Linked DNA regions of Ovis aries. The protein of the gene in region 5 interacts with the protein of the main gene of each other region in a pairwise test. Links are inferred from orthologs where the notes say so. Each region holds a gene or a part of one and is shown on either strand. Other genes may lie near its edges. The genes, in order: CCDC120, TSGA10, DCX, SYT17, MID2, ENKD1 and FARS2.

Region 1 (3,145 bases), about 71 Mb from region 5:
GCCTGGCCCACCTCATAGCAGCGGGCATGAAGGAAGGGCGGGTGCTGCGGGCCCATGTGAGGGAGCCCAGGCCGGCGCTGGGGCCCCGAGGCCAGTCCCGAGTTCCGGATGTACCAGTCCCGCAGCCCCTCCAGGGCAAGGTTCTTGTGGCCGCTGCGCTCACCGGCCGAGGGGATACGGGCGGGTGGGGGCATCCACAGTAGAGGGTTGGGATGCGCCTCCAGGCCCTCAGCGGCCTCCAGGGGCAGACCACAGGGCTTGGTGCGGGGGGCACGGCTATGGGGGTCCTTGCTGCGGAGGAGGGGGCTGCTGCCATCAGCTGCATACACAGGCGGTGGGCCTGGGAGCATGGCGACGAGCCCATCGCGGCGGGAGAGGGGTCCTGGAACCTCAGCTGCCGGCAACAGCTCCCCCCAGCCTGTCCCGCTGCCCCCACGGGGCAGGCCCCGGTCCAGGGAATAGTCCAAGAGGAAGTCCCCACACACGGGTGGGAGCCGGGGGGGCCCGCGGGAGGCCGGCGCGGCTGAGCTGGGCCGGGCAGCCCGGGGAGGGTCTGGGAGGCCAGCCGTGCGGGAGGAAAAGGCAGGGGTTGGCTGGGGGCGCTCATATAGCACCTCACTGCTCTTGCAGACTGGGGGACCGGTGGCAGGGGGAACCAGAGGTGCGGGCGGGGACCCAGCTCCCCCACCCGCTGCCCGGTCCACCAACAGGGCCTCGGAGCTATTGCTGCGGCGGGTGCGAGCTGCGAAGAGGGAGGTGCGGTCGGAGACAGGGTCCACCCGCGGGAAGCCCATCTGGGAGTCCTGGCTGCTGGACCACTGGCGAGAATGGAGGCCTTCGGGTCTAGGGGCACAGAGGTGGGGGTGATGGGAGAAGGGTCAGAAATATCAGGCAGATGGGATAAGCTCGCTCCGCAACCCCTCCCCCAACACACGCCTCTCTCTGGGCCTTCATTTTCACACTCCAAAATGGGCCCCGGACTAGAAATGGGGTGTAAAGGCGTTAGGGAGTGGCACATTAAGAGCAGCAGAGGCCCTAGCCAGGACTGGGGAGCAGAGGGGTTGAAAATGTATGGGGTGCCTGGGGCTGTTAAGCTCCGAGGGAGATGGAAGCAAGGGACTCCAGAGGAAATGCTAGCAGGGGAGGTCACTATTCATAGAATGCAAGCGTCACAAGGATGGGGACTTTTGTTCACAGCCTGGAAAAAGTAGGCACTTGGTAAGTACGTATTTGTTTAAGGACTAGGAGACTACCATGGTTAAAAGCATGGACTCTTGAGTCAAATTTGTCTGGGTTCAAATACCAGGTCTTTGGTTTACCAACAAGTTAGTTAACCTGTGTCTCGGGTTTCTTATCTCTAAAATGAGAATAACGGCATCTACCTCATAGGGATGTTGTGATAACTAAATGAGTTTGATACCAAGTACTGATTCCTAGCAGATGGTAGGTATGCAGCACATGTTAACCAGAACTCATTTATGCCTACAGCCTCTTCCAGAGACAGATATTGATATGCCTGTTTTACAAATGAGGAGACCAAGATTCAGAGAAGGGAAATGACTTGCCCAAAATGCACAGAAAAGCCCATACTCAAACTTCAATGCTTCTGCCCCAAATCCCCACCCTCTTTCTCCAAGGCGGGGGTTGGCTGGGGGTGCTCATATAGCACCAAGACAACTCCTATTCAACTTTCAAGGCTCAGCCTTTCTTTTCTTTTTTTGGTCAATTAAAAAATTTATTTATAATGTGATATTACACATACATTATGTATGGCATATTTCAAAATATATTTTACCTATATTTCTTTATCATGTAATAGGATGCATTATGAACAAAAGTTCTAAAGCATAAATAAAATTCTTGCTTCTTCATACAACTTACACAGAAAATCAGAATAAAACTGATGGATTCAAAGCTCAGTCTTTCATGTCCTACACTCTTGGAATCCAAATACTCTCCCCAGTACCCCCTGTTAGAACTACCAGTTCCCTCCTCTGGTCCTCAAACTCACCCTTAGAGTCCACTTACTTGCAGAGCTGGGGGCCAGCGCCCCGGGTGAGGACGGGAGTAGCAGGCACACTTCGCCCCTCAAAACTGGAGGCACTCCTGGGCAGTGAGCGTGTAGGGCTAGACAGAGACATGCGGGCCCAGGGTGGGGGCGGGGGCCAGGTTAGAGACCGTACCTCCCAGCAGGTCCTCCTGCCCACCCAGGCTCAGCCCCCACTCCTGGCTGTGCGGAAGGAGTGGAGGGGCTCACCCTCACCTGGTGGGGCTGGCCACAGAGTTTCGCCGGCCCTTCAGATCCCCATAAAGATCTGATGGGGGTGGTTTCCATGGGGTTCGCCGCTCAGGGCTGCCCCCAGAGACTGCCCGCAGCTGGTCCCAGGCCTTGGGCGGTGAGGGGCGCTCAGCCAGAGGGAAGCAGCCACGGGGCTCCTCTGAGCAGAAGGGAGAAAATGGTGAAGGGGGGATTCAATGGGAGGGTTGTGGACAAAGCCAAGGGCAGGGGCTAGGGAGGTGCAGAGGGCTAAGCAGGGTAGGACAGGTAGAGGAGGAACCAAGGGAGGCAGGCAGGAACTGGGGCTGATGGGAGAGACAGGGGAGAGGGTGGTGAAGTGAAGAAGGTGGGAGCTCCACCAGAGGATGGGGTGTGGCTGAAGAGGGAGGGCAGGGGCGATGCAGAGCACGGGAGAATTTAGGGGACAAGGGTTCTCACCATTATCGTGGCTGGCCCCAGACTCTGAGAGGGAGCTGCTCTCTGAGTGCAGAACCACATCCTCTACAGGTGAAAAGCAGAGACCCACGCTTATCAATGCAAGGCCTGGGTGCCACCCCCTTACACCACTGGACCGTCTCCTCCCCACCTGGCACACTTCCCAAGAATCCACCTTTACCTAAATCCAAGACCATCAGGGGCTGAGTCCCTCACTTTTTTTGTTGTTGTTGTTGGGCTGCACTGAGTGGCATGAGGGATCTTAGTTTTTATGTCAGAGATCAAACCTGTGCCCCCTGCAGTGGAAGTGCAGAGCCTTGACCACTGGACCGCCAGGGAAGGCCCTGTCCCTCACTTGCCTGAGGCCTATTCCCAATGTCCCCACCCTTTCCTGGGAGCAGCCTACAATTCCTCTCACAGCTAGGGTCCCCT
Region 2 (4,259 bases), on a different chromosome or scaffold from region 5:
TAAGAAGGAACATTCAAACTAAAGGAATGACCTAAAACAAAGGGTAAAGGCAGGAAAAACAGTATGTGAATGAATCCATTTATGACTAGAACAAAAGGTGTATGTCCATGGAGTGAGGTGGGAGCCAAGGCTAGAGAGGTGGATTGGACTAGAACAGAAGTTTTCAAACTTTCTGTGAAGGCCCAGGTAAAAAGCAGCCTGGGCCTTGCAGGCTATGTGACCTCTGACACAGCTATTCAGCTCTGTTGTTGTAGTGCCACAGCCCCAGTAGATACAAACAAGAGAACGAGTTTGTTCCTGTTATTCAGTCGCTCAGTTGTGTCTAACTTTTTGCAGCCCCATGGACTGCAGCATGCCAGGCTCCCCTGTGCTTCACTATCTCCCTGAGTCTGTTCAAACTCATGTCCGTTGAATCAGTGATGCCGTTCAACCATCTCATCTTATGTTGTCCCCTTCTCCTCCTGCCTTCAATCTTTCCCAGGATCAGGGACTTTCCCAGTGAGTAGGCTCTTTGCATCAGGGGGCCAAAGTATTGGAGCTTCAGCTGCAGCATCAGTCCTTCCAATGAGTATTCAGGGTTGATTTCCTTTAGGATTTGGCTGTGTTACAGTATAATTGATTTATAGAGACACAAGTACTTGAAATTCCATAGAGTGGTGGGTGTGGGAGCCAGGTTAGACTGGAGTTAGAGAATGGATGATAAGGAACAGGCAGGGTGTACAAACCATGACACTTAAAAAAAAACTGTCAAAGGAAAAAGAGACAGATGATGATAAACGGGACAGTAGGATTAAGTGACAGTTTTTCAAGATAAGGGAGCCATGTGCATGGTTGAAGAAGTAGAGGAAGAGCCAGTGGAGAGGGTGGTATTTAAAGTGAGACAAGTAATTAAAATTGAGTTAGGGGTATCTTAAAAGACACTTCAGAAAGTGAGGTCCAGGAGTCTGGTCAAGGCTTACCTATGGAAATTGGGAAGTAATATTTCTTCTTCTGAGACTTAGATACTAGCTGAATAGATAGTGAGCAAAATCGAGAGAAAGGATGATAAGGGAAGGAAGTAGCAAAGCAGGGTATGAAATCACCTGCAGATGTGGAATAGACTTGGAACCCAAGGATAGTTGTTGAACAAGTGTGTGAAGCATAGGTTGGGTTATCAGTAAGGATCAGTAGGCCTTTCTGTTGGGGTGAAAGTAGTCAAGACATGGAAATGGCACATACATTTTTGTAGAGAAATACTGGAACACTATGATAATATTTATTAAGCCAGTATTCTGCCTAAATTGTACTGATTTCAAATTTATCAGAAAATGGATGATATATATCATAGATACCTCTTAGTGAAACACTCTCTGTTGCATTAACTGCCTCCAAATTAATTTGTTTTAATTTTTGGCAAAGATAGTATAAACCAAACTTGTGTTTGTAGATATTCATTTACATTTGGGGCATCATTTGCATTTATTTGTGTAAGTTCATTAACGAATTATATCATTATCCTGCTGCAAGCACATTAATTAATATAGGCTTGCATTTTATCTGGCTGGATAGAAGATAGCTGTCCTAAAGCTTGTTAAACAGAAGTCTACGTATGTATTTAAACAATAGGCACAGGAAGAAATTGCCCGACTTCGACGAGAAATGATGAAAAGCTGTAAGTCTCCTAAATCAACAACAGCACATGCTATCCTCCGGCGGGTGGAGACTGAGAGAGATGTGGCCTTCACTGACTTGCGAAGAATGACTACAGAGCGAGATAGTCTGAGGGAGAGGCTAAAGGTTTGAAAGAATTTTATCTCTATGAGGATCTGTGAAATGCAAAACAGCAACATTAAGAGCACCTTTGTTTTCTTTTTGTTTTTTAAACAGATTGCCCAAGAGACAGCGTTTAATGAGAAGGCTCACTTGGAACAAAGGATAGAGGAGCTGGAGTGTACAGTTCATAACGTAAAGAAAAGTCACTTTTGCACTTTGGGCTATAAACTGTCAGTGGCTCCCCACTTTCCCCTTTTTCTGTGTTCGGAAAAGTTGGTTTTCTCAGATAGCATTTGCAGTCCTAAAGATGTTTAAGGTGGTGTATATACTGTAAATTATCACTTTTTCATTATTTATTTTCTTCTGAAAAATGTGAGTAAAGTCTTTTCTGTGTTAGGTTGTGTATGCTTTTTGTGTATGTTCTTTAAAGAAAAAGCATTAGGGATGCATTCTCAGTGATTTTAACACTTACTCATCTCCCTGTTTCATTAATGATAGCATTGCCAGGGACAGAGAAACTGGCTTATTCTTCCTAAAGAGTAGCTAAGATAGAGAAAATTATAACAGAATGAAAACCAATGAGAAAAATATATTTAAGCTAAATTTAATTGTGAAGCATCACCTTGTTACTAGTTAAGGCTTTGAGATGCTGTCCATATATATTGGCGATATTCTGACTATATAAACAGAATTAAGGGAATTCAGCTTTCCGTTACCAACTTCAATTGACTATATTTCTAAATTCATCTGTTTTATGTTATAATGAGTTTTTTTTTTAAAGAAATTGACAGGAGTAGACAGAAAAAAACAGAGTTTTTTTCATAATCCCAGTTTGTATGTATAACTTGTTCATATTGAGCAACAAATAAGAAAGCTTCTTGCAAACAGGCTATGTGTGCTGTAGTCCAGCTGAACCAGATTGAAAATGTGCATCTGCTGTGACAGGCTTCATGGACAAGCTGTGTGGCAGCGTGCCCAAGTTCCTGTTCTACAGCACCTTGTCCATGCAGCCTCCCACAGGTTTCAAGGCTAACCTGATCATCTCATATACCAGTTTCTACAAAGACAGAATGTCTCTCCTGAAAGATTACTGAGATGTTTTTAGTGATGGCAGTAACCTTGTCATTCTGCTTATATAGCTTGATGATGAACGTATGGAACAAATGTCAAATATGACTTTGATGAAGGAAACAATAACCACTGTGGAAAAAGAAATGAAATCACTAGCAAGAAAGGCGATGGATACTGAAAGTGAACTTGGCAGACAAAAAGCAGAGAATAATTCTTTGAGGTAAAGTCAATTACCATTAAACCAATGGTTTACTATAAATAGTAGCTCTGCTTTTTGAAGGATATTTTAGGGTGATAATTGAGTTATTTGTTGACTTTAATTTTTGGAAGGATTATTATGAAACAGTAGTGGACACCTCAGCACACATTAAATGATTTCCTAAAGGTCAGTCACAGACTGACAGACTGGGAATGCCGCATCTATAGGAGTCAAACTTCTAGTAATTTTCATCTCGTATTTGCAGAAAGCTTCACTATTGAGCTGAAATAGCTTTTACGAAGCCCTTCTGGGTAACGAACATGTTTGACCTTGGCCTTTCACTGTTTATAATTTACCTTATAACTTAAATTATGTCCTGGGATCCGAACAGTGTAAGAAAACACAAAGCACAGGTTTGACAATGGCTTAGAAAGGGGTGGTTTGACATACAGTAAAAGCCATAGCAAAGAAAGAAGAACATGTAACAGAACTTCTGTTAACTGGATGCCACGTGCTGTGTTTAGCTGTTCCTGCATACTGCCCTGTAGCAGGAAAATCCCAGTTAAAGCAACCCACACGCAGTGGTGTAGGGGAACAAGTTTCTGAAGACTTCCATATTAGCAGTTTCACTTGCACTGTCTATTGACGTGAGAAACAGAAATTCTACACATTCACTCAGGTTGAATTTCAGTGTATCTATGAACATATGAAAAATAATAGTTCATGAGAGTGTGAAATACATTATTTAGTCTACAGATAATACTTGGTTCATATACAAATTCCCAAAGTCGCCTCTTTGGTCTTTCAAGGGTCTGTGGTATGTACTGATGCATTGGAATCACTTGTCAGGACAGAGAATTACTCAAATTCTTTCCCTTCATTTATTTATTTATTTTTAATTAATTTATTTGTTTTAATTGGAGGCTAATTACTTTACAATATTGTAGTAGTTTTGCCATAAATTGACATGAATTAGCCATGGGTATACATGTGTTCCCCATCCTGCCTCCCACCTCCCTCCCTATCCCATCCCTCAGGGTCATCCCAGTGCACCGGCCCTGAGCGCCCTGTCTCATGCATGGAACCTGGCCTGGTGATCTGTTTCATGTATGGTAATATACATGTTTCAATGCTATTCTCTCAAATCATCTCTCCCTTGCCTTCTCCCACAGAGTCCAAAAGTCTGTTCATTACATCAGTGTCTCTTTTTCTGTCTTGCATACAGGGTCATCATTAC
Region 3 (3,205 bases), about 3.7 Mb from region 5:
TAGTCATCTCTCCAGACTTTTTTCAGGTGTTGCCTCCTCTTGTTTGCCTCCTAGTTCCCTGATTTCCAAGCATCTCTGCTGGGCTCCAGTAACACCACTTGTCTGGCTCTGTCATAGCACTTATTCTCCAGTATTCTTATCTGCCTCCCCATTTGAAGTGACTTACTCATCTCTGAAACCCCAGTGTCTAATTCTTGGCTCAGTTTAGAGAAAGTACTCTGGAACTACTGGCCAATTTAATGAATGACTCCCAGGAAGCCCTGACAGGGAGAAAGGCCTCTCAGTGAGTGGGTTAAAGACAAGTGAATACACAGGTAAAACCAGATGGTGGATGCCTAAGTGCCCATTTTTCAGCTCACTTGCACTTGGATAAATTCAGCTACCACCACACTGATGTCTCTTTCATCTCTATAGTTGATGTGAAGGTTCCAGAACCTAGGGAAACATTACCAAAGTGGTGCAGAGGAAGTATATCTTCAGGAAATATTCATGATACATCAGTTTAAGCTTTACCTATGGGATCAACAGCAACACTCTCAGGCCATCTTCTTGCTCAATTTTTTCAATTTCCTACTCTCTCTCTTCCTCTACCCGCTCTCCCCTGTCTTCCCTTCCTCCTCTTTCTCGTCTCCTCCCCTCTCCCCACAGTGCCCTTGGGATATTTGCCTTTTTTAAAAAGCACATTTCAGAATATCTGAGGAACAATGTAGGTCCTTACATTTTAAAATAAATTAACTTAAGCATGAGATGTCTGAACATGAATTCCCTTTGAAAGCTGTTTAATTGTTCCACTTCAATGCACCACATTTCTTTTTACATGATTGGATCTTTTAAAAATCTGGTCAGCAAGGGAATATAAGACAATTTGCAACAACAATGGAATATAGAGATGTTAAATACTAAATCATTGCATTTTCAACATTTTACTGACTAGAGACAAATGGAGGTGCACCCTGACTCTGGCTATTAATGCCATCATCCTTTTTCTGTCTGTAAGCCTTTCTCCTGATTTCAAACTTCTTCCTTCTCTTTCCTAGCAACCTCTTGTCTCTCGTCTCCTTCACTCCTGATCTCTCTCTCTCATTCTCAATTCTCTCCTCTGCCCATTTTGCTGTATGCACCTCTCTTTATGTTTCACACTGTTTCTCCTCCATTTTCTTTTCCATTCTGCTTCCTAATTAGCTCTTTCTCTCTCCTTTTTTCCTTCTGGTCTTTGCACCCATAATGAGGTAGGGAAGAGAGAGTGGGGGGGGGGGGGGAAGATGAGCAGGAAAATAGAGAGGGGAAGAGATAGATAATAGGGCTGTCCTGCACCACATCATCTGCCACCAAAAGGGACATGCCCAAATCACCCAGATGCCTTCCCCTTTAAGGTGAGGCATATGACCTCTTCATGCCTTTTTAATGTCATTTATAAAATTGAAACAGAGTAACATGTTCCCGGACTACCTCCCAGAGATGCTGCTAGGGTCAGACTTGGGAATGAATATGAAAAAGGTTTGAAAAGAACCAGATCCCTGTAATTGGAAGTACTTGGGAGGAGGTGAGGCGGGGAGAAGGGGGGGGCGGGAGTTAGATTACTGCTTTGCACCACAAGGGGATCTAATTAACTGAGGATTGTAGTTCTTGCCTTTCTGAGGAATGTGTTTCTTTTCACCTTTGTTCTACTCATCAAATCACTTGGTCGTCTGTGTAGCGTGTTTGAATGTTCTTAGTGTCTTCAGAGGGGAAGGATAACATGTTCCTTTGTATGCTGTTGATTTTTCTCCCTTCCTTTTCTCTTGCCTTGGGCTAGCAAACGGAACCTCCAGCAGCCAGCTCTCTACCCCCAAGTCTAAGCAGTCTCCCATCTCTACGCCCACCAGTCCTGGCAGCCTCCGGAAGCACAAGGTATTATGTCTCTTATACCTTACTAAACTCCCTTTCACTTGGACTTTTTGGTCCATTAGCTTGAAGCCTCAGGAATCCCAGCAGGGGTCAAGCTTCCAATCATTGTGTTTATTCTTCTGGCCCCTGGCTTAATTCTATTTACCCAAAAGGAAGTGGTATGAAGGACCCAAATACCCCCATTCTGAGCTAATCGTGTCACCAAATGATGGCCCAAGGGATAAACTGAGCTTTGTCCCTCTGATTCAGAGGCACAGCAAACAGGATGGTGAGGGCAACTTAAGTTCCTAGGTCCGGTAAAGGTCATAAAGAAAGTTAGTCCTGAGTTACTCCCTTTAGATTCGTGGGACATTCAAATATGAACAGACCCTAATTTCACTGTGTATTCTTCGTGCTCAGGCCAATTCTGGTACACTGTGGGGAGAGAGGGCATATATTCATTGCACTGACCTTAGGTACCCTTTACACCTCTGAGTTAGCCCCAATAAATATACCATTAAAATAATAGATGTTGTAGAAATTCTCTACCTCCACTTTCCAAACTGATTTCCACCTAGAAATCTCTTCTGTATCAAAAATATGCAGTGGCCATTGCCTTCCACCTCACTTCAGGCCACATAGATGTGGTTTCTGCTGTGACTGTTGTTGTTTACTCCCGAAGTCATGTCCAACTCTTTTGCAACCCCATGGACCATAGCCCACCAGGCTCCTCTGTCCATGGAATTCTCCAGGCAAGAATGCTGGAGCAGGGTGCCATTCCCTTCTCCAGGGGATCTTCCCGACCCAGGGATCAGACCCTCATCTTCTTCATTGGCAGGTGACTCTTACTCCTGAGCCACCAGAAGCCCTCTGCTCTGATTACCACACCATAGAGTGGCTTCCTCTAGGATTCTCTTGTGTTCCCCTGGCTCACAAGACCTGGCATGAGATGGAGAAAGGCAAAAAAGCCACCAATGTGGCCAGTTCCATCACGGAACCATAGAGAGTCAGAGGTAGAAAAGATCTGAGACAGAGGTAAATTTGTTTAGTTTGATTCCTCAATGATCTTGTGGGATTGATATTTTACACATGAGGAAATTGAGACCCAGAATGGTGAAGTTACTTACTGGAGTGACATGGCTAGGCAGCAGTAGACATAAGGTCCTAACCAAGGTTATGACCCTTGGTGTACTGGAGCTGGTTTACACTAGCTCATGAGAGCTGACTGTGTACACTGCTTCCCAACTCTAGTAACTAGAGCTCAGCCATGATGGGAATATTTACACCATGGAATTCAGCAAATGCTATAAATCAGAGTTGTTGTTTTCTCACACAGAAA
Region 4 (4,259 bases), on a different chromosome or scaffold from region 5:
CCCCGCCAGCACCTTGATCTTGGACTCAAAACCTCCAAATTGTAAAACAATAAACTACACTTTTAAGCCACCCAATTTGTGGTGCTTTGTCACAACAACCCTAAGGAAACTAAGCCACCTCGAAATTCTATCTCAAGCTCTGCTTCTAGACACCCCAACAGAGAGCGGACGTGCCCACTCAAACAGCATATACTCCAGAGCAAGCTTGAGATGAGTCTAGACTCTCGCCTCGATTTCCACGAGCCTCTCATTGCATGAGAAGGAAGAAGAAGAAGGAAGGGAGGAAAGAGGGAGGGAGGGAAGAAGGAAATTCGCTTTGGGGATCCTTCCATCCTCCACTCATTCAGTAAATATTGCTGAGCACCATCAGCTGCTCATCACTGTTCCAGGAGCAGGGGAGAAAGACGAGAACAAAACAGACAAAAGTTACCGCCCTCGCGGGGTTCACATACCAGCAGGGGAGACAGACCATAAAATGCCCAGTCTATGGGATGGTAAGTGCCATGGAGAAAAGCAAAGGAGGAGAAGGGGATGGGGCGTGCCCAGGGCAGGGGTGAAGCGACAGATGCTCCACAGCCCAGTCTCAGTTCAGGCAGAGAGCAGCACGCCTGGGCGCCTTCTCTTTTCTGCCCAGCCCTCCTGTGAGGTTTGGGGAGCCCACCTGGCCACTGGGCAAAGATGGAGTCTACGCCCACCCCAGGGCCAGAATGGCGCCCTTCAGAACCACCCCTGGCTTTGACATCCCTCCTTCTCTGTCTCCTCCTCAACCCTTCCTCTTGCTTCCTGGGATCACCTCCTAAATTAACGACCTGCACCTACCCCCAGCCCCTGGCCCCAGCTTTCAGGAACCATACCAGGGCAGGTGCACCTGGAACTTTCCATTTCAGCCACGATAACACTTCAGCCAAGACCTAGGGGAGCCAACCTGTGGGCATGTCCAGGCCCTCCCCCTCCAGGGCTCTGCCCTGACACAAAGAGTGGAATCTGGAATTTATCATGTTTGGTGGGTCTCCCTCTGTCCACATAATTTACTTGACAGTTGAAAACCTCGATCTCAAATATCGAAGAGGATACACGACATGATCCCATATATCCTGCTTGTGTGATGGGAAGGCAAACTTAGGATTACAGCAGACACTAACTACCTTCTCCTGACCGTGATCATTCCTGCCTACATGAATCTGCCAGCTCTTGTACATATTTTGCATCTGTGGATGTCAAGGGGCTCTGTACCCACCAGTGTCACAAGCCAGAAATATCAGGAAATGAACCTCCCCTCCCCCCAGCCCTCGTTCAGTGACTGACAGGAGGTGGTGTATTAACACCCCAGCTCCCTCACCTCTTGGGAGGAAAGGCTCTTAGACCTATGTCCGACACTGGCTCCTGGCTCCTCTAACAGGTTTCTGCTCCAGTCACCACAGTGGTGGCAGGCCTGATATCTGCATCTTTTAAGTGACATTCCTACCTGCTCTTGGTATTTCCTCCGGTGTCACCTCCCTATTAAATGACTTCCTTGCCTGAGAGTCTTCTTTTTCTTGGGGAATCCAAACTAAGAGAGTGATAGTTTCGAAGATGGTGTATATACACACATACAATGTAGCAGCCCCTCCAGTCCTCGTTTAACACGTGCATCCCAAATGTGATGCTGGATGATCAAATCCCTGGACGCGGAGCTCAGCTTTAGAAGCACCTTGGTGTATTCGATGCAAAGTAATCCTATTTGCATTACAAGGATCAATGTCTGACGTGGATGGTCTTGACCAGCCTCCAACAGGATCTTTTCCCCTGGACTCCCCCCACATCTTTCCACCCACAGTGAGTGCACTGCTATCCTCCAGCCCATAAAATGCCCCAGAAAGGGACCCTGAAGCCCACTGGGGAGAGAGTTTGGTCCATGGGTAGCTCCCCAGGCAGCCCAATGTGTGTCACCGCGCTGGAAGAGGGAAGGAAGCTAATCTTACAATTCACCTGAAAAGCAATCATCCATTATCCCGGTCTTCAGCCCTCATCTTATTTTTCCCAGATCAATTCCTGAAAGTCAAAATGACAGATAGCTTCATACTCTGGACAATAATTCTTCTTAGTAAATAAGCCAGCATCAATGACAAAAAGTTCCCAGGGTAGTGCTGGTTACCTGAATCCATACATGTGTTATAATTTCATAGAATCACACACACACACACACACACACACACACACATGCACACGCACACAGAAGATGCTGGTGAAGGGACTTCCCTGGTAGTCCAGGGGCTAGGACTCTGCACTCCCAATGCAAGGGACTTGGGTTTGACCCTGGCCAGGGAACTAGATCCCACACTCCACAACTAAAGGTCCTACATGATGCAACAAAGATTCACAATCTTGTGTGCCGCAACCAACACCCAATGCAGCCAAAGAAGTAAATAAACATTTTTAAAAAAAACTGGGGAAAATTGCATAAGGTCTAGTTTAGCTACCAAATAGCAGTTTCTTGGTGTCCTAGCGTACACAGATCGTATGAGATTTACCAGCCAGGAAGGTGGATGAAGAACACACAGGACTCCCTGTACTGTTCTTGCAACTTCTTGGGAGTCAAAAAATTATTTCAAAATCAAAAGTTTTAAAAATGCAAAAAAAAAAAAAAACCAACCCAAACAAACAAAACTTAAATTCTGAGATTAAAAAAATAATAATCGTTTTTTACAAAGCTCCCAGCAGGAGACACTGCCAACCCACCCCTTACCTGAGAACTGGGAATCAGCGCCTTCCACCAGTGACCACCCTTCACCAGGTCGACCTCGCACAAAGGCACAGCCACCTTGCCGATGACGCAGTGGCGTGAGAACTTATCGAAGTCCAGCACCGTCAGGAGCAGGGTCCTCCTCTGAGCCTCCAGGAAGGGGATCTCGAAGGTGTAGCGCTCCTCGAACACGGGCTTCTGGGTCTTGCGTTTGACTCCGGTCTGCTTGGAGTTCTTCTGGTCCGGCAGGAGGCAGATCTTGACGTAGGGGTTGGAGTGCGCCATGTCCTGGCGCGCGCCGTCGTGGGAGATGGGGGGCGGCAGGTCCCGGGCCTCGATCACGCGCACCGTCAGGTGGTTGTGCAGCAGGTCGTACTGCGTGCTGAAGTGCAGCATGCCCAGCTGGTACTTGGACAGGATCTCCGCGTCCGTCAGGAAGTCCACGTCGTCACTGTTGGAATCGAGGGAGTATAGGCGGGGCTCGAACTTCCTGAAGTAATCATCCGGCGTATAGGTCCGTCTGAGCACCGAGGGCTGGATGGGCTCTTTCTTGGCGCTGAGAACGCCGAACTCGATGGGCTTAATATCAATCAGTGGAGAGCTGGGCCGTCTGGACTCGAGACCTACACACCCAGCAGAAATAACAATTAACACCACCAAGTACTGGACTGGATCTGGGCCGATGTGTGAGATCAAGGACCTTTCATAGATTCTCACATTGTTTGCTCTGCTTCATAATGCTCTTTCCATATGCTCTCCACTCCTGGAAATCCTCTTATTTACTCTATGAGAGGAAGGGCAGCGGCACAAATATCCCCATCTCCACGACAGCTAATTGCCAGGCACTGCTCTAAATGCCCTGCGTACATGGAGAAGGGAATGGTTACCCACTCCAGTATTCTTGCCTGGAGAATTCCATGGACAGAGAAGCCTGGCGGGCTACAGTCCATGGGCTTGCAAAGAGTCGGACACGACTGAGCGACTAACACTTTCACATTCATAACCCTCACAAGGCATTAGCCAGTGACTATTACCTTCACCGACTCGATGGACGAGAGTTTGAGTGAGCTCCGGGAGATGGTGATGGACAGGGAGGCCTGGCGTGCTTCGATTCATGGGGTTGCAAAGAGTCGGACACGACTGAGCGACTGAACTGAACTGAACTGATGACCTTCGCTTTACAGAAGAGGAAACAGAAACTCTAAGTAACTCACCAAAGGGCACCCCACTGGTAGGAGGAGGAGCCAGGATCCAAGCCCCACCTATCTGGCCCCAGGGTCCGACTCTAACCATTCCCAGCCTCCGATTTCACGGAGTTGGCTCTGGGGCCAGTGTCTGGGTCAAATTCCAACCCAGCTACTTCCTCGTGAACCACGTGACTCTCTAGTAACGAGCCAAGTGACTCCAGGCACATTTTACACACTCGGTTTTCCCATCTGTAACATGGAGCCAATCATAGCAGCCACATCAAAGATGGTGGTGAAAACTCACTGAGCGATGCGTGGAGAGAGCCCAGCACAGAACGTGCATGTGCTGA
Region 5 (4,810 bases):
CCTGAGAGACAGAGTGAAGGGAGGACATTCTCTCCTCTTCATCAAGTAGCAAAGGCATATTCCTTGGGCAGTTTCCTTCTCAACTGTCATGGTGTCAGCAGATTTTATGGGAGGAGGGATGAGGGAATGGACAGGTTCACTAAGAGCAATTTTTGGATGCAATTATGAGGCTCCTTTGGCACTGTTTTAGGATCTACAAGTTGGAGCAAGTTGCCCTGCACTTAGAGGAGGGAGTAACTAAACTAATTTCACCTAAATCAATTTGCACTGTTCAGATGATATGTTCATAAAGCAACCAAGCCATTCTGATTTGCAGCAGTACTTCCCAGGGATGGCCTTGCAAGGTACAACATGCTAGATTAGGAGTCTAGCAGTCATGAAAGTAAATGGGAGGGAAATACTCGCTCCTTCAAGTCTCTAGGCTTTACCCCTGCCCTGCACAGCCCCTCCCAGTCCTAATCCGAGAACTGCAAGTGCAGAGGTATGCCTTAAACAAACAGGAGGCCAAAATGTAAGGCCAAAGCTGGGGCCTTAGCCCAGTCAGCAGAGGACTCTGCACATTGCAGGTGCTTTTAAGAAACATGGTTGATTCACCACTGCAAGATACTAATCCTGCTTAGATACCCATGCCTAAAAGTATTTAAGCCACTTTTCAGTAGAAAGTAACTACCCACCCCTATATGGGCTAAAAATGAGTGAGGTTATGTTTTCAAATGCATCTGATTCAGATTGTTAGGTTGGAGTACATTAGATATGATTCAAGCCTTAGTTTAAAATAATCATCATTACTCTTTATGTCTTGTTTTATGTACGTTTTCATTCAGTTGCATGTGCACTAAGGGAAAAAAAAAAGAAACAGACCTAGGACCACAGTAGGGTAATAGATTTGGCTCCCAAAAGGGTTAATAATGGCAAGTTTGGGTTCCCAGTAAAGCAGGGTTCCTACTTACACCCAAACTATTACCTCAATAAAAGGTAAATGAAGTACTTTCTTTGAAAAGTATAATGCTGAGGGTTTATAGAATCCTTTCATCTTCAAAGGACCAAGCCAAGACTCACAATAGCCAGTACACAATATGATGTCTTTCATACAAGTGCATCAACTATGAAAGAAAGGTCACAGGAATGTCCTAAAGCCACAAAGCCAATGAAACATCAGATTTGAAATGAACTCTCTGATCTCCTTGGCTCCTAGACTTGTATTTCAACCACATAAATCAAGCTGTGTGGAACCATCAGGGGAAATCTAATTCACATTGTATATCTGCATTAATTGATTGGGCAGGAAAATATTAAAGTAGCAAAGACTCTTTCCCTCTCAAGGCAGTGATGAGTGGAGTGAAAAGGGGGATGTGAGCATTAGGGGTAACCAGCTGGGGTAAAATGAGAAGTAGGGGAGGGACTCTCCCTATTCAGGGGTCCCCTTCCATTGGCACATTGCCAGAGAACTGACTGGAGTATTGGAAGGGGACAGAATGGAGGTAAAGGCAGCCCTTATGGCCCACCTTAAGAATCAGAAGAATCAACCCACACTTGTACTTGTCTATTTACATAGCCTCTAATACACTTCAGACACAAACAACCATAACCATCCACCCTCCCCACACTCAGAAATCCTCAAAATGGCAAAGCTGGTTCAGAAGCCAGAGGCTGCTTGACAGGGAGCCTGGGAGTGCACAGGACCCAGGAGACGTGTGGTTCTGGTTGGGAGATTACCGTGGGCAAGTAGGTGTGTGATTACCACGTAGGAAGAAGGCGAGTGAGTGTGAAGGCGGGTAGGGGGGTATGGAAGAGAAAAAGTGAAGAACACAACGACCCCAGGATCCCAATGTCCTGCTCTGAGAAGAAACGCCTCCAAGAAATGTGCTGCACGCGTTATGCTAAGTAACCGAAACCTTATCATCACCAAAAATGTTTCTGTCAATCTACTCCGCTTATTTACTTAATTCTTACGAGCCAGGAATGGAAAAACCCCACCTTTCCCGGGTTCTATCGCAGTCTGTCCGGGGGACCTATAAGTTTTCCCTCTCCCCCACTGAGCTGGTTTCACAGCTAGGCCAAAAATAAGGAACCACCCAGACAGAGACTCCAGGATCATTCCGTGGCAGCAAAGGGATTAAGTTTCGCCCGGCCTCCCCGCGGGCAGGGTGTCCGCAGCATCTCTGGCTGCCGCAGCCACCACAGCCAGGCGGCCGAGGGGCGCCGCCCGGGCCAAGGAGGTGGCCGGCCGCGGGAGCGTGGGAAGGCGGCGGTGCCCTTTCCCAGACTAGCGCCCAGGCTCTCGGAGAGCCGCTCCGGGAGGGGCCCGCGCCCGACCCGGCTGGACTGCGCGGGAGGCCTAGGACCCGCCCCCGCCCCGGACCCCCGAGTGCAAACTCCGTCCCTGGAGGGCAGCGACGGGTGCCCGGGCCCCAGCGGCGCATCGGGGAGCCAGGGCCGGGCCGGGGCGCCCTCCGCCGCCGCCGCCACCTCGAGCCTCGGGGGCCCCGTCACCCCGCCCCGCCGAGCCCCGGAGCAGCCCTCGGCCCCCGCCGGGCCCCGGCCGCACCTGAGACGCGCGGCCCGAGCCCGGGGCCGAGCCCGGCGCGGGTGGTGGCGGTCGGCCCCCGGGGCCGCGGCGAGGGGGCGCGTTTTACCCAGAGCCTTCCCGGCTGCCGGCCATGTCCTCGGCGCGCCCGAGGGCGCCGGGTGCTCGCCTGCCTCCCGCGCGAGCTGGCTCAGGCTCCGGCGCGAGCTCCCCGGCTGCCACCGCTGCCGCCGTTGCCGCCGCCGCTCTAGGCCGCCGCCCGCCTTCGCAGCCGCCGCCGCCGCGCAGCAGCCAGGATCCGCCCGCCCGCGCGCCCCGCTGGGGACAGCTCGGCGGCCGCCACGCTACCGCGGCTGGGTCTCCCGAGCCAAACTTAAGAGTTTTCGCTCCTCAGTCCAGGGGCAGCACCATGACACCGCGGCAGCACCACACTGTCATTTCCGCCGTCGCAGGGCGTGGGGGGCGGGGGGGGGGTAGAGAAGGCAATCCCGACGAAAAGGGGGATGGGGTGGGGGCGAAGCGGGCTGGGGCTGCTGCCCCGAGGGAGCGCTGGGAAGGGCCCGGCAGCCGGGGCGCTCGGCCACCTTCCCCGGCTCACCTTCTGCCGCCCCCGCCGCTCCCAGCTCCCCCTGCCCCTCCTCTGGAGGCGCGTTTACATGTTTTCTCCCCTGGCAGGAGTGACCGGAGAAACCTGAGCGAGCAAAGGCAGCGGGTGGGTGGGGTTCGGGTTACTACTGTACCTACCAGCTGATTCCAGCAGCCTTTTCTCCAGCGCCCTGTCATCTTGAAGGAAGACATACGGAGAGGGGCCGGAGCGGGTGTGTGTGTGCGTGTGTGCGTGTGTGTGTGTGTGTGTGTGTGTGTGTGTGTAAGAGAGCGAGAGCGCCAGCAGAATGTGTGTGAAATGCAGAAGGAAGACTCTGGCCAAACTCTTCTCCCAGCCGCCAAGCCCCTGGCCCCCACAAACCCCTAGGTTAGAACAACGAAAGGGCCGTTGCCACCAGCAATGAGAAGAGAGTGCCTAGGTCCAGCGCACAGGTCCTCGGACGAAGCTGCTCAATGTAAAGTTAACTACAGAGTAAAACAAAAATAGTGGAGGAGACAGAAAAGGGCAGACAATTGAAGGAAACCCAACCCCTCTTTCTTTTTACAAAGGGAGAATGGCTGTGTTTTATTGGCCTTGGGCAGAAGTTGTGGAGATGGATTAAAGCCACCAAAATTAAAAAACAAAATCAAAAAAGTGGGGGAGGGGGGGAGTGTAGGGCCTCATTTACACATTCAAATCCGTGATGGGCCAAACCAGAGGGTCTTTAATAAGAGGACAATGGGACGGATGTTAGCTATATACAGGTATTCAATGTCCCTAATAAGCTAATTGGTCCAGCTGGAACCCAGGAGCGTTCATTGGTCTGGAGTCCGCCCGTGGGACCTGTCATTGGCTCAGAGACCACCGACCCACTCCTCGAGGAGGGTGGGAGAGGGAGGGAGGAGGAGGCCCCAGAGGAGATTCTGTACCTCACATAGGGAAATGAAGGGGATTTTTAAAAAAAGGCAAGATGAAGGGGAAAGGAGTGAGAAAATGGGAGGAAAGAACCCCCTCTCCCATAGCTCTCTCATTACCTTCGGTGGGAATGAGTCCAGAAAAATTAAGGTAATTCTGGGTGTATCCCATCAGGGAACCAATAGTAATTAGCCAACACCCCTGTTAAACAATGTTCAAGAGAGCACTGAGGTGGAAAGGAAGGCAAAAATCACAACCAAGCTATCCTGATGAAAGTCTGGCCCTAAGAAAAGTAAAAGTTAATGAGTCACACCAAAAACACAAGCAAAAATAAAGCTAAACTAGACAAGAGGGACTACATTGAACTTAAAAACTTCTGTGCAGCAGAAGAATCAACAGTGAAAAGGCAAAAATAGAGAGAAAATATTTGCAAACCACGTATCTGGTAAGAGGTTAATAGGTAAAGAACTCCTACAAACCAATAACAAAGTAAATATCACGATTAAAAAATGGGCAAAGGACTGAAATAGACGTTTCTCCAAAGAAGATAAACAAATGGCCAATAAGCATATGAAAAGATGCTCAGCATCGCTAATCATCAGGGAAATGGAAACCAAAACCACAATAAGATATTATCTCACACTCATTAGGCTGACAAGTATTTAAAATAAAACAGAAAATAGTAAGTGTTGGTAAGGATGTGGAGAAATTGGAACACTGTTTGCAGTTGGTAGGAATGTAAAGTGGTGCAACTGCTATGGAAAACAGTGAGGAGGTTCCTC
Region 6 (4,841 bases), on a different chromosome or scaffold from region 5:
TGGGGCCCAATCCTGCCCTTAGCAACCATGCTGTGACCTTCAGTAAGACCCAGTCACTGTCCCCATAAAAGGGCTCAGGAATCCATCTTCACAAAGACTTTGGGACGGGAAAAGATCTTGATGGCCTCCTCTACCTGCACCAGCTTCCGGTCCAGCTCAGCACGGTGGCTCTGGGCCCTCAGTGAATCCGCCCCCGCAGGCAGCAGCACCAGCTCGCGCAGCAGCTGGCTCTGGCCTACAGGGGCCCCAGGAACAGTAAATGCTGGGCAGGGGTGCATAGTACCTGGTGGGTTCCCCAGCCAGCTCCCCTTGCCCACGTACTCACTCTGGAGCAGACTGCTCAGTGTCTCCAGCCGCTGGTTCTCAGGCATGCGAGTGTGGCCAGGGGGCATGGCTGGGTCTGGTTGGCTGTGCTGACGGGCCTCAGCCTCCCGCCGCCACAGGTCCCTGCGCTCCAACAAGCTGTGATGCACAGACCCAGGGCTGATGACCCTAGGCAGACGTGGGCTTCCACCCTCCATAAGTGCCCCTTCCCAGGAGTGGGGGGAGCAGTAGGACCTACTAATGGGGCACGTGACCCTTCTGCGTGGCGTTGTAGTGCTCCTGGGCTTGCCGTTGCTGCTCCAGCACCTGTGCCAGGACTTGCAGCGAGCGAGAATGCCGCCGGGGGGCCCTCTTGGCAGTGCGGGCATTGTGCATAATGAAGTCCACACCCAGACCTGGGGCCTGCGGGACATGGCCAGCATGATGAAACAGCACTGTGTGGTGCCCCGGAATCCCTGCCCCACCTCCCAGCCCCCACATATCCTCTCACCTTAGCATTGGGACCTGGTAGGGTTAGCTGGGGACTGGGGACACGGGGTGGTGGGAGCCCGGGGCCGCAACGGGAATGGGCCCGCAGAAAGTGGGCTGGCTCAGTTCTAGAGGCAGGGCCGGGCTCCTGGAGGCCAAGGCAGAGCGGGGGGTGGTCAGTCAGGCTGAAGTCAGGGTCTCAAGCTGTAAGACCATGCCTCTGTCCCTCCTGTCTTTCAGGATCTTTCTCTATCACCAGTCCTCTGGACCTGGCCTCCTTCCTCTTGAATAAGTACTTCCATCACATCAGCATTTAAACCTGTGTGTTTTTCACATCTCTCAGAAAACATATTTCCCTCCCTCTACCTCAGTCCTGGCTTCAGTCATCGTTCTCTTTTTCTCTCCTTCCTAGTCAAGCTTTCTGGCTCTGTCCCTACCAAGGCCACCAACAGCTGGTCTCCAAGCCCCCAAATCCAGGGTCACTTCCCTGGTTTCACTATCCTCAGCCTCGTCCTCAATAGCTCCTGGGTCTCACTTCTGAGATCCAGACCTGATTCTCCATCTGCCTCTTGGACACATTCCCACTCCCTGGAAGCCCCACAAAAGCTTCAGCTTCAACACACCCACATATGACCTTGTCTTTTTTTCTGTCCTACTTCTCCTTCTCAGACCCCTGGAAAGAGAAGTGGCACCACTAGCTACCCCAGATAGAATCTTACCACCATACATACCCCTGCCCTTCCCATTGTCCTTAGAAATAAAGGTTTAAAAAAATGGATTTATGTGGCCCTTTATGATGTGGGTCCAGCTGACTTCTTAGCCTAACCTCATGTTCTTCCTCCCTCATAGTGAACTGAACACAGCATCCCCACTGCCCACACTCCTAAGTCCCTGGTGTTAGGACCAGGGACCCTGGAACCACAAGGTTCCATTTCTATAAAATGTTCTCCTCTATTCTCCCCTTGCCTAATTCCGACTTGCCCCTCAGAATCACCCAGCTGTCATCACTTCAGAGAAAGGCCACAGCCCCACTCTGCAGCAGGACCAGCTCTTCATCCCCTGTGACCTCAGCCCACTGTGGGTTTCCTCCCTCCTCATAACTCAAGTCAGAGTATAATGTCCTGTTGGCCAACAAGACGGGCAACACTTGGGGCTCCCTGAGGCAGGTACCTGCAGCTGAGCCTTGACACGCGACTCCACTTTGTCATACTTGGGTGAGCGCCACAGGGCCTTCAGGGGCCTGGATTGGGCCTGCTCCTGGCTGTGCTCCTGCTCACGGAAGCGCCTCTGGATTTCCCTGATCCGCCTCATGTTCTCCTTCTCATGGTCTTTAGGGTCCTTCCCTGGAGAAAAGATGTTGCCCTACATACAGCCCATACAATCCAACTTACCCCAGTGGACACACAAGCCCACACCCTGCCTCCCTGACATACTCTAAAGTCCACCACATAACCTTGTTCTCGTCCTCACACCATAATTATCTTCTGTTTCTGATGATTTTATACATATTTGATTATGAAGTATACTAGTAATCACCTTGCATATCCTATTCACCTCTTCACTTGTTTTACTGTCTCCCACCTTGATTCAATGATGCGCTTCTTCGACCTTGTTCTCCTAGCACCCATAGGGCCTGGAGCACAGCAGACACTCAACAACCAACCATGCATAAATCCATGAAGCTGAGCTACGGGCTTTTCCGGGGTATGCCTCATTTAGTCCTCTCCTGCGAAGAAGTCGTGCATTTCCCGCTCCTTCTACAGTTGGGGAAACAGACACTCTGAGAGGTAAAGCCTGAGCCCAGAGCAGGGAAGGGGAAGCAGCCGTCTTTTTATCTGTTTTGACTTCAGAGCCGCCTCGCTGTCCGTTCTGACCAGAACTTACTCTTGGGAGAGGCCCCTGGGCCTAGGGAGATACCCCCGAGCTGCAGCAGCACACCACCCACGCCGCGACGGCCACGCTCCAGGATTTCTAGGCCTCCCGGACGGATGCGAGGGGCGCGGGGAGGGGTGGCGTCTAGGTCCGGGTCCGTATCCGTCGTCAGCAGGTCCAACTTCGGCGCGTTTCCCTCAAGGCGCCCTTGGGCTGAGAGGCCAGACGGGGCAGAGTGCGGAGTCAGTGGTGGAGCTGGGCCCGACCCTTGCCAGGCCGCTTTCACTCCCTAACTCACCCGAAGACGGCCTCCGGTAGTAGTCCGGACAGAGCGTAGGGTCTGGGGGGATGGGCCCCGAGATGCGGGACGGACCCTCACACATACCGCCGCCGCCGTCCTGCAAACGTTGCACCTGAGGCCTGCCGGGCTACGCGTCTCTGGCTCCAAACCCGGCTTCTCAGCCCAGTGCCTCCTCCCTGGCCCCGGGTCCTAACCTCAGCCGTGCCCTGCCTGCGTTCCCGGCCCCCACCCCGCCTCCCGGCCCCGGCCTGCGCTCGCCACCTCTGCTCTCAGCCCACCTCTCAGTACCGTTGGCAGGCTTCTCACTCGGGCAAGGGGCTCACCAGAGCGGTTTTGCCGCCCACTGCCGCCACCCGACGGGTTTGCTGTTGCCAGGCAACAATGGTTTCCGTCCGTGAGGTCAGGGGCCAATGGCCTTGGCGCAAAGCCTTCTGGGGCCTGTAGTTCCAGCTGAGGGGGGAGCAGAACGACTGTCAGTTGCCCTTCCCAATCCGGTCCTCTCCCGGGTCCGCTCAGGGTCTACTAGTCTGGCCCCTCAGGATCCGCCCTCCATCCCCAATGCCCCTCAAGCAACCGTCGAGGAAGTGCTGATCCGCCGCAGCTATGGACTCCGCAGGGGCTGAGAAGCGGCCAGGGGCCCAAGAAGGGGCAGCCGTGGGGCAGTCACAGCTTACAGAGATGCCTGGTGGCCATGCTCAGAATTCTGAGGTGACCATCGGGCTGTCTAACCTTCAAACACTTGGGTCATAGCGCTTTAATAGACCAAAACTGCCAGGCCAGGTTCCACAGGCTGGGAGGGGCATGGGCTGGTGCCCTTCATCCAGAGTATTTAGAGTCTAATGGCTGGTCCCTGTATCCTTTACCTGGCCATGGTGACCAGTTACCTGTGTGTCACCGCTAGTGTCCAGTGATGGGAGACCAGGGCCTGGTGCCAGCCCATGAGGCCTGCCAAACCCAGGATGAAGATAAATGTCCAATAAGATCCACCTCAGAGCCAAAGATCCAGGAGAGACTCAAGCTGGAGGAAGACAGGCACAAACCAGAGGTGGAGGCCCTGGAGGAGAGAGGTCCCAGGCCTACGGCCTCCACTGTGAGGCCCAGTCATGGTCCGAAGAGGAAGCCGGTCAAGTGAGGGGGCTTTCAGAGGGAAGAGACTGGGAACTGGGGAGGTGGTGTGGGGGTGGCTCATACCCCAGTTGGATTCTTAAATGGGGCCTTACAGTAGTGTCCATCCTTATCCCCTGACACCACCATCATTCCTCACCTCTGCTGACCCTCCAGAGCCCTGATGTAGGGAACATGCAGAGCAAAAGTCTCAAGGCCTGGTAGGGGACTGAACTCCCATGATCTCTGGGTCCCTGTCCAGTCCAGGGCCTCACTGACCAGGAAAAGGACAAGGATCACGGCCTGGGGAGGTAGGCAGGCAGGACTGTTCCCTAGGACAGGGCACAGGAGCCAAGGCTGCAGGCTGGCTCCTCAGGCCTCCTTGTTCCCCAGCCTCACAGGCCCGAGCCACCAAGCCCATCCTAGGGCAGAGAGTGAGTTGCCACAGGGGCTGTCGCTGCAGAGGGAAGAGCCGGAGAATAATCAGAATGAGCCCTCACCATCTGCCAAACAGCACAAAAAGACCAAGAAGCGCAAGAGTCTGGGAACCCCAGTGCTCCCAGTGGTGGCCAGCACGGTGTCGGCACCCTCAGTGACCTTGGGGCCTGAGCGTGAGTGGCATTTCCTGAGCCTTCCCTTTTGTCCCAGCCAGCTGGACCCAACACAGCCCAGCTTGGCACTCCAGTCATTGCCCTGCCCTGGGTTCTTGTAGGAAAGGCCCAGCGCCTGCGGCCCCTGTACCAGTACATCAACTATTGCAACCCTGAACTGA
Region 7 (3,373 bases), on a different chromosome or scaffold from region 5:
TCCATGAATGCCTAACTGGTTTGGGGGCTCAAAGGGATCCCAGGCCGGGTCAGGAGTGTCTGCAAGCAGGGGCCCCTGGTGCAAAGATCAGCAGTCCCCTGGGGCACTGCGTGCGTCCGCTCCTGGGCCCTGGCCCGCGGCCTGGCCCGGCTGGCGTGCGGCCTGCACCGGATTCCCTTGAGAGTCCACGGGAAGTGACCCGCAGATAATAGGGCAAAATGACACTGGGGCCGTGCCTCCCGCTAGAGCGCCTGCCCACCCCACCAACAGCTGCGAACAGGCGCGCTCATCAGATATTTATCCCAGCGCATGTGGTCCGCCATCAGCCTCCAGCATCATGCTGGGGAGGGAATCTGATTAGGAAAAGTGGTCAGGAGTGGGGCAGGCAGACTACAGAAGTGCCGGGCATGGAAACGGGGAGATGCCAAAGCGCCGCAGTCCCCCATAAAGGTCATCTCGGAAGCAGAGGCCACTGGTCAGGGAACAAAAGCTCCCGGGCTTCCAGGACGGGTCCCATCAGGTCATGGGCCTCCCAGCCCTGCGGCCAAGTCTCCATCTCCTCCCTGGGGACAGGAGGCAACTTCACCCAGGCCCTGGGGCAGAGGCTGGGCTCCAGTGAAAAGGAAATAAAATCCTGCCCATTCCCTCTGCCTCCAAGGAGCCCCGCGTCTCCTCCGCACCCTGCGCTCCTGCCCTTTGAGGAACCGAAGGAGGGAGATGGGCTGGGAGCCGATGCAGGAAAGTCTCCGGGGTCTGCAGTCCGTCCCTCAGTGTGGCTTCACTCATTCTGGGACGGGAAGAGCCTGTCAGGCAAGAAATCATGTCTGGTGTTTACACTTTAGCGGACTCCAGGGACTGACTAAGCAGCCGAGCGCCCACAGGCGAAGCGTCTCTGAAAGGAGCGGAAGGGCGCTCTCGCCTCCCCGTGCCTCCCCGCTTCTCCCAAATGAAAGACAAGTGTCCACAGGTTCTCGAGAGCAACGCTTTATTTTCTGAGAGTCCTGGAACCGACCCGTTTACCGCAGGATGACTGATGCCTCAGTCCACAGATGGGATCCTTCTCTCCTTCACTCAGCAACCCTGGAGCCCCGGGAGCGCCACGCCCGGGGAGGGGGCCCTCAAAACCTGCCTTCGACGCCCAGCTGCCGCACGGCCGCCTCCTGCACGGCCTGGTGGATGCCCCCGACCTCTTTCTGCGACAGCGTGCGCTCCATGTGGCGGTAGGTGATGCGGTAGCAGTGGCTGGTCCTGTGTGTCCTAGAGGACAGGAGAGAAAGGCAGTGAGCGCGGGCTGGTGTGTGAGCACAGGCAGGTGTGTGAGCATGGGCAGGTGTGTGAGCGGGGGCAGGTGTGTAAGTGAGCACAGGCAGGTGTGTGAGTGTGTGAGCGGGGGCAGGTGTGTGAGTTTGGGCAGGTGTGTGAGTGTGGGCAGGTGTGAGTGTGGGCAGGTGTGTGAGTGTGGACAGGTGTGTGGGCAGGTGTGGGTGACTGTGGGCAGGTGTGTGTGTGGGCAGGTGTGAGTGTGTGACTGCGGTCAGGTGTGAGTGTGGGCAGGTGTGTGAGTGCAGACAGGTGTGTGTGGGCAGGTGTGTGAGTGTGCGAGTGCGGGCAGGTGTGTGTGTGGATAGGTGTGTGTGAGTGTGCACAGGTGTGTGAGTGTGGGCAGGTGTGTGAGTGCAAGCAGATGTGAGTGCGGGCAGGTGTATGAGTGCAGGCAGGTGTGAGTGTGGGCAGGTGTGCCAAGGGAGGGAGCAGCAGGCTTTCCTGGAGACTGAGTCGGAGCTGGGGGGCCCGGGGCTCCCTGGGGGACTCTGACCAGCAGAGCGGGTTAGGAACCTGCAGGCCACGGGCAGCACACAGATGGTGGTGCCCTCCCCGTGTTGTGCAGACAAGTCACCGATCCCCGCCTGCACCAGGCGGCTGCGGGCCTGGCCCCACGGCGCAGCTGGGTAATGTCGCAATGCGGATCGTGACAGCACGTCTGCAGCGTAGCAGCTGCCGACCCTTGGGTGCCCAACACCTCAGCAGGGAGGTGTGGGCACCAGCTGGCAAGCCTGGGCCTCCAGCGCTCCCCCCCACGGACACCTCCGTCTCTCTCCTGAAACTAAGCCACCAAATCCCTCCTCTTCAGCCCCAGCTGAGCCAGCCCTGCCGTCCCCGCCGCAGGTGACGAAGCTGGAGTGACGAGTGGGCAAGGCCCAGGGATGTCAGCCCGGCACCATGTGCCACGTGCCTTCCGCCCAGACCCTTGAACTGAGGGCCTCTGGGTGGCCTCTCCACACCCCTGGCTGGTGCGGACGTCAAGTCATGCGGCCGCTGGGCAAAGAGCTGGAGGAACCTGAGGGTCACACACCGACAGCCCTTCAAATGCTGAAAAGCACCGTCACCCTCCGGTCCAGTGACGCCTCCCTGGGTATACACTCAAGAGAAGCGGAGGCGTGTGTCCACACACGAATCAGCATGCGAATGTTCAGAGCAGCAGCAGTCACGCCAGCCCAAAAGTGGAAACGACCCAAGAGCCCTTCACCTGGTGGGTGGACAAACACTCTCTCTCCGTGTGGAGAATTACGCAGCCATGAAGAGAAAGGACGTTCTAGTACTACAGGCCAGACGAACCTGAACGCCCCGTGCTCCACTGAGAGGCTCCAGGCACGAAAGGCCACACCTTATACGACTCCATCTAACGAAACGTCCAGAACAGCAAGTCCACATGGACAGAAGGCAGATTCCTGAAGCCCCGGGCTGGGGGCGCAGCTGGGCGACCGCGTGACTGCTAAGGGGGTCCAGGTGTCTGTTGAGGGTAATGGGATGTCTGGAGTGAGATGGTGATGAATATTATAAAAACCACTAAGCTGAACACTTTAAATGGGTGTATGATGTCTGAATCACGTCTCAATAAAGCTGTCCTACCAGAAGCAAAGACTCGCCCTGTGGGCTGCAGGTAGGCCCATGCTGACGCGGTGCACTCCTGGCGGGCTGCACACTCTGCTCTTCTGGTGCCCAGAGCAGTGTCTGGCATACAGCAGGTGCTGCATAAAAGCTGCTGAATGAACTCCCGTACAATCACCGGACCCTGGGGCGGCTGTCTGCGTTCAGGCCTTGTGGGGGCGGGCCAGCCTTGTTCGGCCCTCTGGGTCTCCCTGTTCTTCCCCTCCCTCCTCCCACCCCTACCTCTAACAGTGATGGAGGCAATGCTGTCAGCATCCCGAGGTGATGGCAGATGGGAGGGAGGGTCAACATGGGGCGCCCCAAGCTCTCAGCCCGTAGGAGCCTCGTCTCCACTGTGCCTCCTGGTCCCGGAAGCAAAGCCTTTGTGGAGCCCTCGGGGGACCCCAGGCCATGGGCACCTGATACAGAGGCTGTGTGCAAGCTA

The links.
Region 1: the proteins of MID2 (region 5) and CCDC120 interact in binary tests that used the Homo sapiens proteins (3 or more experiments, as listed by UniProt). The link is inferred for Ovis aries from reciprocal best matches to the Homo sapiens genes MID2 and CCDC120.
Region 2: the proteins of MID2 (region 5) and TSGA10 interact in binary tests that used the Homo sapiens proteins (3 or more experiments, as listed by UniProt). The two-hybrid records come from large-scale screens. The link is inferred for Ovis aries from reciprocal best matches to the Homo sapiens genes MID2 and TSGA10.
Region 3: the proteins of MID2 (region 5) and DCX interact in binary tests that used the Homo sapiens proteins (3 or more experiments, as listed by UniProt). The two-hybrid records come from large-scale screens. The link is inferred for Ovis aries from reciprocal best matches to the Homo sapiens genes MID2 and DCX.
Region 4: the proteins of MID2 (region 5) and SYT17 interact in binary tests that used the Homo sapiens proteins (3 or more experiments, as listed by UniProt). The two-hybrid records come from large-scale screens. The link is inferred for Ovis aries from reciprocal best matches to the Homo sapiens genes MID2 and SYT17.
Region 6: the proteins of MID2 (region 5) and ENKD1 interact in binary tests that used the Homo sapiens proteins (3 or more experiments, as listed by UniProt). The link is inferred for Ovis aries from reciprocal best matches to the Homo sapiens genes MID2 and ENKD1.
Region 7: the proteins of MID2 (region 5) and FARS2 interact in binary tests that used the Homo sapiens proteins (3 or more experiments, as listed by UniProt). The two-hybrid records come from large-scale screens. The link is inferred for Ovis aries from reciprocal best matches to the Homo sapiens genes MID2 and FARS2.

What each region holds. Positions count from the first base shown.
Region 1 is NC_056080.1:56,040,661-56,043,805, forward strand, and holds part of CCDC120 (coiled-coil domain-containing protein 120), read right to left. Parts: intron 2,780-3,145; coding exon 2,717-2,779; intron 2,439-2,716; coding exon 2,264-2,438; intron 2,128-2,263; coding exon 2,029-2,127; intron 844-2,028; coding exon 1-843. UniProt on the Homo sapiens protein: Centriolar protein required for centriole subdistal appendage assembly and microtubule anchoring in interphase cells. Together with CCDC68, cooperate with subdistal appendage components ODF2, NIN and CEP170 for hierarchical subdistal appendage assembly.
Region 2 is NC_056056.1:102,216,299-102,220,557, forward strand, and holds part of TSGA10 (testis-specific gene 10 protein), read left to right. Parts: intron 1-1,605; coding exon 1,606-1,776; intron 1,777-1,866; coding exon 1,867-1,944; intron 1,945-2,891; coding exon 2,892-3,043; intron 3,044-4,259. UniProt on the Homo sapiens protein: Plays a role in spermatogenesis. When overexpressed, prevents nuclear localization of HIF1A.
Region 3 is NC_056080.1:123,700,933-123,704,137, forward strand, and holds part of DCX (neuronal migration protein doublecortin), read left to right. Parts: intron 1-1,795; coding exon 1,796-2,022; 3' UTR 2,023-3,205. UniProt on the Homo sapiens protein: Microtubule-associated protein required for initial steps of neuronal dispersion and cortex lamination during cerebral cortex development. May act by competing with the putative neuronal protein kinase DCLK1 in binding to a target protein.
Region 4 is NC_056077.1:17,263,453-17,267,711, forward strand, and holds part of SYT17 (synaptotagmin-17), read right to left. Parts: intron 3,346-4,259; coding exon 2,726-3,345; intron 1-2,725. UniProt on the Homo sapiens protein: Plays a role in dendrite formation by melanocytes.
Region 5 is NC_056080.1:127,419,464-127,424,273, forward strand, and holds the start of MID2 (probable E3 ubiquitin-protein ligase MID2), read right to left. Parts: upstream 3,336-4,810; 5' UTR 3,272-3,335; intron 3,207-3,271; exon of another isoform or gene 3,126-3,206; intron 2,775-3,125; exon of another isoform or gene 2,637-2,774; intron 1-2,636. UniProt on the Homo sapiens protein: E3 ubiquitin ligase that plays a role in microtubule stabilization. Mediates the 'Lys-48'-linked polyubiquitination of LRRK2 to drive its localization to microtubules and its proteasomal degradation in neurons.
Region 6 is NC_056067.1:34,774,985-34,779,825, forward strand, and holds the start of ENKD1 (enkurin domain-containing protein 1), read right to left. Parts: upstream 3,349-4,841; 5' UTR 3,289-3,348; exon of another isoform or gene 3,244-3,288; intron 3,063-3,243; 5' UTR 3,048-3,062; coding exon 2,963-3,047; intron 2,878-2,962; coding exon 2,677-2,877; intron 2,136-2,676; coding exon 1,963-2,135; intron 941-1,962; coding exon 815-940; intron 727-814; coding exon 563-726; intron 463-562; coding exon 326-462; coding exon of another isoform or gene 322-325; intron 236-321; coding exon 75-235; 3' UTR 1-74. Other genes in the region: C14H16orf86 (uncharacterized protein C16orf86 homolog), read left to right, coding at 3,569-3,673, 3,867-4,093, 4,433-4,680, 4,782-4,841. UniProt on the Homo sapiens protein: Microtubule-binding protein which regulates microtubule organization and stability. Promotes the stability of astral microtubules and facilitates the proper orientation of the mitotic spindle.
Region 7 is NC_056073.1:48,259,302-48,262,674, forward strand, and holds the end of FARS2 (phenylalanine--tRNA ligase, mitochondrial), read right to left. Parts: intron 2,792-3,373; coding exon 2,617-2,791; intron 1,258-2,616; coding exon 1,072-1,257; 3' UTR 969-1,071; downstream 1-968. UniProt on the Homo sapiens protein: Is responsible for the charging of tRNA(Phe) with phenylalanine in mitochondrial translation.